2 linked regions of the Mus musculus genome follow. The protein of the gene in region 1 purifies or fractionates together with the protein of each later gene. This does not show direct contact. Links are inferred from orthologs where the notes say so. Each region holds a gene or a part of one and is shown on either strand. Other genes may lie near its edges.

Region 1 (4,581 bases):
TAGCCTGGTCTCCACAGTGAGTTTCAAACTAGTCAGAATTGCATAGTGAGATCCAGGCCAGCCAGGGCTTTGTAGTGAGAGCCTGTATAAGGGGAGAAAAATAAAAATCAACTATTAGATAATAATAAAAGACAGAAGATTGGCATAAATGTAATGCACCAGGAGACACTGGAAGGAATAAAATGTTTGAGACCAGCTCAGGCTTCATAAACTCTGCCAAAAAACACCAAACTAAGAGCCAATGTTGATGGAGGACCTTGTTTATTTTGCTTATCTGGTGAGATTAAGTGTATCTTCAAAATGGGCTGCTTTCCAACTTGGAACCTGAGCTCCAAACACATGCCAGGAAGAGAGTGTATTTGAGAAGTATTTGTTCGTGTTCATTCTATTGGTGTAATGCAAAGCCTTCTGTCATGTGCAGAATCAAGAAACCAGCCATGATAAATTTATTTTCTGGGTGGGTGGGAGAAAAGGGCAGGGTCTTACTTACGTAGTCCTTGCTAATCTGGAACTCACTGTGCAGACCAAGCTGGCCTGGAACTCCAGTGAGCCTCCTGCCTCCCAAGCGTTGGAATTAAATGCCTGGTTCCTCACCTCCCCCAGTACCCCCCCCCCGAAGTATGACAAATTTAAAATTAACAGGTGTTGAGCAGCTCTCAGAAGTACATGTGGTTTTCATTACCTGTTTCCCTTCCGTTTCATGTCTGGATTTTTAAGGTTACAACACTACACGAAGTTATTTCTCCCGAGGCCACTTTCGTATAGTGCACTAAACTCGGAGCCCGCCCTCCATCTGTCCAGTTGTAGGGGTCACCGAAGGACGGAGGACCGCAGCCTTTATACTTGACTTCCTTCGTTTCTTGGTTTGACTTAAAACTCCAGGTGACCTTGGTGCTTCCCTTCCTCCCCCGTGAGGCGTTCCTGTTTTCCATCACCTGAGATGCAAAGGCGGGGTCGCTCCGTCCCCTCGGAACGCCAAGGGGAAGATGCTGGGCGACGGTTCCGCATCCTGCTGTTCAGACACAGGCTGGCCACCTCCAGCCCCCCCCGCCCCCCCCCCGCCTCTAGGAAGGCGACAAAAGCGGTGCTTCCTCTTGAGTTCCAGCCCCGCACGGATGCAGACCCGAGGTGTCAGCGTCGCGCAGGCCTTGCAGACTTGCGTCCTCTGCAGAGGTGGCAGCTCCCAGACGTGACCTTAGGTCCCCGCAGCACGCGGGTCACATGGGGACACGCACTGCCCTGCAGACCCGCGCCTGGGGCCTCTGCAGCGGAGAAGGCTGTGCGGAGCTCCTCCGAGCTCCTCGAGGCACGAGTCTAAACGCAGGGAACCGCTGCCTTCCTCAGATTACCTATGGCCGCTCCAATCCTCTGGTTTCTAAACGCAGGAGGCCCTCATCCGGGGGAGGGTCTTTCCATTCCGCAACCCCAAAGCAGTCAGAAGATAGAGTCGGTGTTCCAGGACTTGAAGGGTGCGCTTCCGTTAGGAAGCCCATCCCTCCAGTCCCGAGTGGGCGTGGCCTTCAGATAGCGTCCGTTGCCACGCCCAACTGCCTCCCAACGGCCCTCTGTGTCGGACCTCGGAACCAGGCGGCAGGACCTGCTAATTGCGCCTGCGCGCGCGTGCGCACAATCAATAGGAGGGGCTCACGAGCCGGACCCTCCCAAACCCGGCGTCTCCACCCGCCCCATCTCCCAACCTCCTCAGCGTGGCGCCGACGCTGCGTGCGGCGCGGGTTACCCAGAGTGCTCAGCGCGGGGGGCAGCTCACTGGAGTTTGGTTCTCGAGGCGGCGGCGGCGGTGGTGGCGGAGGCTCCTCCGTCGGCTCCTCCTCCTCGCTCGGCGGTGGCGGCGGTGGTCCGGGGCCTGAGCTCCGGTCCCCTCCGCTTCCCTCCGTCCTCGCCATCTCCCCGAGCGCCTTGACCTCCTCCGGCGCCGCGGGGAACATGCGGCTCCGTTCCCGGAGGCCGGCGAGTGACTGACCCGCGTTCCCCCTCCTCAGCCTGCCCGCCCGCCGGCCCGGCCGCTCCCCCCCGCTTCGCCCAGGCAATGACAGCGGCTCCGGCGTCTCCGCAGCAGATGAGGGACCGGCTGCTACAGGCCATCGACTCCCAGAGCAACGTAAGTGACTGCCTCGCGATCGGGGACCGAGGCCGCATGTGTCGAGACCCTCCCCCTCCGACGCGCCCCCGGCTAGGGGCTCTCTCCAGGCGGTGATCTGCCCGCCACAGCCACTGCCATCTCGGTCTCTCTTTCTCCTGGGTCCGGGGACCGCAGGCAAGGCGGATTGCCCGGCAGCTGAGGGTACCTGAGGCCGAGGCTTCACGCGGCCTGGACTGAGGGAGCGTTTGGAGCTTTGATCAGAGCTAGTTCTTCTCCGTTGTCCCAGCCCGACCGCCCTTGGTGGTCCCCACCGTGCCTCCTTGCCTCACCTCAACCCTGGGAACTGAGAACCCCCCGGGAAGGTCTCCCTGCCGGGGGCAAGGTGGGAAGCAACTAGTGTCTCCGCGATGACTAGAGTAGCCCGCGTCTCCGGAGTCTTGGCCTTTACTCCCCTTCGGTCTCCTGGCTGAACCTCCTTCTTGGCTAGGAGGGAACCCTAGGCCCGTTCTGCCCCCAGTCTGTCTACCTGTGATGCCTGGAGAGTCTCCTCTTTTTTCTGATAGTGGACAAACCTTTCCTGGGGTCTTTCTAGAAAAGACGACCCTGCAGAGAGTGGGATCCTTCCTGTCATCTTTCTTGGCCTAAATGCTCCATTGCGCATCTGACCAGAAGCTAAAGCATGGGATTTTGGTACTGAGTTACTGCCCGTCATAGTTGATTGTTCTCTTATTCCTACCTTCCGGTCCTCTTTCCATCTCTCTCTTGCCCCTCCTGAGGTGCTTTGGGCCCTAGCCTGTCAAGATTTAATTGTAAGGGGTTACTTTATGTCACACTTTCCTCTGCTAAGAGTCCTGTGAGCAGAGGGACATCTTTTTCTTCCTGTGTGAGCATAGACTAATTTCACCTGTTCTTGTATTTTTCCCAAAGGTTTGTTGGCAGTGTAGGGGGCGGGTATCCTTGTTGCTGTTAGGAGCAGGGCCATGGGAAGATGCACAGGCATTCAGATATGAGGTGTTTGCTGGGAGACCAGGAAGTGGCCTTTGAGATCACTTTTTAATATGCTCGGGATGGAAGAAAAATCATCTTGGGCTTGGACAGGTAACCGAGGTTTGAGTCTTTTGAGTTCCCTTGACTATGCTTGACCAGTTACTCTTAGCAATGTACAATGTACACTGTATTGTGGTGTGTTCAGAATAATTCACATTGTTTGTGTGGTCTTGGTAGAAATAGAGGTGCTCTAGTTTCTATGAGATCTGCTTGCTGGATCCAAAATTATTTTCTTCTTGGTCTTTAAGATCACCTTGATAGTAATTTAGTAAATACTGTAGACATTTTCTCGAGGTAGAATAGGGACAGGCTAGATAAAAATCTTCTAGAAAGCCTTTTTAAATTTTTTTCTTTTTTCTTTTTTTGGTTTAAGGTTTTGTTGGGTTTTTTGTTGTTGTTTTGTTTGCCAGTGATTGGTATTACTGACTGTAATCACATGATTGATATATTAGGATATTAAAAGGTAAAAACAAGAGATAGGAAAACATAGCCTTGATGGCTTTTGCATCTTTGCTGAAGCCATAGTGTACACAGTATAATTTTTTGATGTTGTTTTTCAAGAAGGATTCCTCTTCTATGTAGCTTTGACTATCCTTGAACTTGCTCTTTAGACTAGGTTGGCCTCAGAGATTCTCCTGCCTCTTCTTCCAGATTAAACGATTGCACCACCACTGCTCATCTCTTCCACAGTGGAAATTTTAACTCCTGTGTAACTCCTTTGCTTGAGATCTTATCAGAGATCCTGACTGCTTGTATGTGAGAGTGTTGGGACCAGCAAGCGCTTTGACAGGTAATCATGATGCTATAGATCAGGTGGGTCCAAGTGTTAGGTAAGGTCTGACTAGAAGACCCTTTGTGGGTAAAAGAAGGAAGGTAGACAGCCCAAATTTTAGGTTTTTGTTTTGTTTTTTTCTGAGACAGTCACTGGAAGTCACTATGTATGTAAACCAGTGTAGTCTCACAGAGAATCTGTCTGCTTCTACCTCCCAAATGCTGGAATTAAAGGTATATGCCACCATGCCTGGCCCAAACATTAGTTTCTTGAATTTTCCCTTGGTCATAAGTATTACTATGCTCTTTGGCCTGTGGGTAAGTTGCTTGGAGTGTATATCTCAAAGGGAGACCTTATTGTGGTGGATGGAGTTGAGAACTTGTCTCTGAGTGAGGAGGGAAGTGTTTCCCAAAATGCACTGTCAGTGACCACCCACAAAAACAACTAGGTATATGTGCCAGGGGCTGGCTTTGCAGAATCTCTTTGTAGAATCAGCCTGGAGCACTGTCCTCCATTTCTTGCTGTGGTATTGAAGGGTCCCTGGACATTTGCACTGTTTCCGTGATTGCTCAGGGCCCAGGTAAGAGCTGCATGTTTGTGCAGGGATCTGTGCTTTGCTCTGCCCAGTTATAAGCTCCACCACTTGCTAATTGACACATAT
Region 2 (4,255 bases), on another chromosome or scaffold:
GGCCAGCCTGGTCTACAAAGTGAGCTCCAGGACAGCCAGGGCTACACAGAGAAACCCTGTCTCGAACCCCCCCCCCAAAAAAAAAAAACAAAAAAACAACCAACCAGAAGCATCTTAAGGAAGGGTATACAATGCAGATGTCATAGCAACAGGATTCCCAGGCAGCCAAGCACACTGCATCTGCGCCAGGAAGCTGTAGTCTGACTCCTGAGCCTCTAGGATGATGCCATACACGTCTGTCTTCCTCAGTCAAATCTGTCTAGAATCCCAAAGACAACCAAACGTTCTTTATTATGGTTATGATTATTATTCTCTATTGTGAGTGCACACATGTGTAAATGCATACCGTGAAGGGAGGTCGGAGAAGTCTGTTCTCTACCACCACGTGGGTTCTGGGGACTGAATTTAGGTAATCAGATTTGGTCACACTCCCCCTTGCCCACTGGGCTGTCTTGCTGGCCCCTCCTAGGGGTTTGTTTCTAGGATGATTCTAAATTTCATCCGGTTGACAAGATGAGCCATCAGGGAGGCTGGAGAAATGGCTCAGCAGTTAAGGGTCTTACTGCTCCTGCAGGGGACTGGAGTTCGGTTCCCAGCACCCACTGGGGCAGGGGGGGCTCACAACCACCTGTAACTCCAGCTCCAGGTGACCCAACCCTCTTCTGGTCTCCAAAGGCACCTGCATATACGTGCCCATACAAGATATGCAAATAAAAATCTTTAAAAATAGGAAAAATAAAAGATTGCTACAGAGACCGCTGAAAAATGGCGAGGTGCAAAGCTTTCATCGTGTTTTTAGTTACCTGTGTGCTCAAGAGAAGATGCGCTGGTACCCCAAGCTCCTCCCCAACCTTTACATCCCTTCTTGCTCCACTGGTCCTCATCTAGAAGGCCTCATAAGTCCGCCAGTGTCGGCCCACCCGGGGGTCCTGCAGCAGCAGCCCACTTAGACTCTTAGTCCCATTCAGTCGGTACCGGGGAGCCAGCTACAGGTGGCTCAACTCCGGGCGCGGGAGCACGCGCCAAAACACTCAGCATGGACGCCTCGAACAAGGGTTCTAAACTGACGCATGCGCACGGCTCGCCCTCAGCCTTGCCTGCGCCTGCATTAGGTCATCCGAGCCGCTAGGGGGCGGGGGCCAGGTGCTTACACTGATTGGCTGCGGCTGAGAAATCCGGAAGTGGTCGCGCTTCGGGGCTCTGTTGGCGGAAGGAGACTGTGGGTTGGTGTCGGGGAGCGAGAGCGCGGCGCTAGGATGAACGCTCCTCCGGCCTTCGAGTCGTTCTTGCTCTTCGAGGGCGAGAAGAAGTAAGTGGAGGCCGGCGGAGGCGGGGACGGTTGCATAGGAGCCTGCCGGCCGTCAGCTCCGCTGGAGCGCCGCACTGCTCCTGTCTGGGGAAACCGAGGCGGGAGGCGGGCTTTGCTTTGAGTCTTCCGTGCTGCTCAATGCGAGTCTGCCCAGCTTCAGGCAGCGGCGCGAAGCACTGGCGCGTGCATGCATTTTGCAGTGGGAAATCGGAGGCTCTGGGACATGGAGTGTCTTGCTCCAGACACTTGGTTCATGATGACAGCTGTGAAGGGACAGAGACACAGCTCTCTTACACTCCTCAGCAACCTGAGGGTTTCTCCTAGATTTTCAGGGATCCCGACTTAGGCCAAACCCGGGTTCGTGGCTCCACGCTAAAAAGAATTTCAGGACTCTTCGGTTTAGTGAAGCAGGATTGGTGGGTTTTTAATTAAAGATACTTTAATATGGGCTTAAGCAGGAGGGTTCAGAGGAAGAGAGCGCTAAGAAAGTAAGACAGACGCAAGTTGGGTCTGTGTGCATTCAGAGAGCAGGGGGAAGTACTTTGCACTCGAGTGGCTACAGGTTTAGAGATTAAGCATCTAATTGTCTTTTGGAGGTAGGGTTTCTCTGTGTATCCTCCTTGACTGTCTTGGAACGAGCTTTGCAGACCAGACTAGCCTCAAACTCAGCGATCCACCTGCTTCTACCTGGGATTAACGGCCTGAGCCACCGGCTCTGGCTTTATGTAATTGTCTTAATGGTAGCCAAATACACTCTTTTGATGACTCAAAGTTTGCTACGAACCCTTCTCTCTTGTGTAACCCTTCTCTCGTGTGTGTGCCCCTTCTTGGAAGTCAGCTTAGTCTCTATCTCAGTGGGAAAAAGGTATGGAGGTGTGCTAGGAATCGTTTGTGAACCCCAAAAGATCATTAAGGAGCCGTTTCCATTAGGGTCTCTTTATCACAAGCTCGGGCTTGGGCTCTCCTCCAACCCAACCCTGACACAACAGGACAGGAAGAGAAGGCAGAGCAGCCTTGAACCCAGGACAAGGTTTTCTAGGGAGTGGGAGTGACGGGGTATGGAGCTTGGCAGGTATCTAACTGAATGTCTGTTGTAAGCTGACAGGTGGTGCTGTGAAGGGAGATGAACAATCACAAACTATCTGAAAGTAGATCTGAAGCAACCAGACTAATCTTTGATTAACTGTTGCTAGGGAGTAACTCTGGGGTATGGGCCAAGGGACAAGCCGTGAGGTCCTTCCTGGTACTTGGTTGCATCTTGGGTTCTGCTGTAGGTCAAGTTCTCAGGCTTTTTTTGCGGGGGGGGGGGGGGGTTCAAGACAGGGTTTCTCTGTATAGCCCTGGCTGTCCTGGAACTCACTTTGTAGACCAGGCTGGCCTCAAACCCAGAAATCCGCCTGCCAATGCCTCCAGAGTGCTGGGATTAAAGGCATGCACCACCACGCCCGGCTTTTTTTTTTTTCTTTAAGATGGAGGTAGCAGGTCCCAAGATGGAGTAGATTTGGCCTCTCAGAGGTATACCCCAGTGGTAGATTGCTTACCTAGCATGCACGGGGCTCATTTCATCCCTGTATCAATCAGTCAATAAATAATGAAGTTCTTCAAGATCCTCCGAGTTTGCCAGTACAGTGTACACTGCAGACCTGTAGCCGACACTGCTCATTCCTAAGAGGCAGGGTTTTGTGATTGACATTTGATAGCTACTTCAGCCTTCCTTGGGGGCATATTCTCAACTGAGAGCCCGGTTGTTGTCCCATGAGCAAGAGCATTTGGCCATCTGGAAAAGGTTCTGGTTGTCCCAGGCACGTTGGTATTGGCAGCGGGTGGATAGCAGCAAGGGATGCTGATAACAACCCTTGGTGCAGTAGACAGGCTCCCAGAAAAGGACAATCAGGTCCAAAACATCCATGTTCTGGGCTGGCAACATGGCTTGAGCGCAGGCACCCGCAGGCAAGCCTGATGACTTGAGTTCAGTCCCTGGGACCACTATGGTACCAGGAGAGACCTGACAATTACAGGTTGTCCTCTTATCTCAGACAGGCGTGGACAAAGTAAGAAAATATTTGTGTACCGAGTTTGAAAAAAGGAGCAATCCTTAACTGAGCGGTGGATTTTAATCCACCTTTAATCCCAGCACTTGGGAGGCAGAGGCAGGGGGATCAAGGCCAGCCTGGTCTACAGATCAAGTACGAAGAAATGTAGTCTCAAAAAAAACAAACAAAAACAAGGACTGCTAAGTCCATGCTCCCTGGTATATAAATAGGAGGCCATCACAGGGGAGAGGCGGTTCCTTGTTAGCATTTATTGATTGATTGATTGTCATGCTGAGGACTTGTGTGTAGATCTGAGTTCTGCTTCCAGTGTTTCTCCAGGGGCATGGGAAGTGGAGACAAGCACAGTGTGTCCATTGGCAAATGAGATTCTACCTTAAGCAAAGAGAAAGGCCAGGGTGATGGCTGAGGTGTTTCTCTATCCTCCTGCCTCAGCCTCCCAAATTGCTGGGATTACTGGTCTGAACTACCAGGCAGGCCTACCTTGTTTATTGTTTGGACGGTGGGAGTGGTGGAGATGAGACCCAGAGACTTACACATGGGAGGTTAATGGTTGGCCACTGAACCATGCCAGAGCTCTGAGTCCTTTACTGGTGAGTAGACTGAAAAAGGCCTCCCAGGGCTAGACCTGTAGCTCAGTGGTTGAGGGCTTTGCTTAGCACGCTCAAAACCCAAGGTGCAACTCCAGTAGCCATTGGGGATAGATAGTAGGGCTTGCAGAATGATAGACCTGGGCCTACCTTGATTGTGAGGGGCCTTGGGGGTTAAGTGTCTCCTGGTCTCTCCCCTGTACCCACTCCAAGACGGGTTTTCTGTGTGGCCCAGGCTGGCCTCAAACTCAAAGATCTACCTGCCTCTGCCTTCTAGATGCTGGGATCAAAGGCGTATGCTACTA

What was found.
Region 2: the proteins of Med26 (region 1) and Polr2j purify together in Homo sapiens (affinity purification with mass spectrometry; 5 studies listed by BioGRID and IntAct, with this or other methods). This does not show direct contact. The link is inferred for Mus musculus from reciprocal best matches to the Homo sapiens genes MED26 and POLR2J.

What each region holds. Positions count from the first base shown.
Region 1 is NC_000074.6:72,545,433-72,550,013, reverse strand, and holds the start of Med26 (mediator of RNA polymerase II transcription subunit 26), read left to right. Parts: upstream 1-1,703; 5' UTR 1,704-2,047; coding exon 2,048-2,119; intron 2,120-3,799; exon of another isoform or gene 3,800-3,938; intron 3,939-4,581. UniProt on the Homo sapiens protein: Component of the Mediator complex, a coactivator involved in the regulated transcription of nearly all RNA polymerase II-dependent genes.
Region 2 is NC_000071.6:136,115,497-136,119,751, forward strand, and holds the start of Polr2j (DNA-directed RNA polymerase II subunit RPB11), read left to right. Parts: upstream 1-1,194; 5' UTR 1,195-1,256; coding exon 1,257-1,309; intron 1,310-4,255. UniProt on the Homo sapiens protein: Core component of RNA polymerase II (Pol II), a DNA-dependent RNA polymerase which synthesizes mRNA precursors and many functional non-coding RNAs using the four ribonucleoside triphosphates as substrates.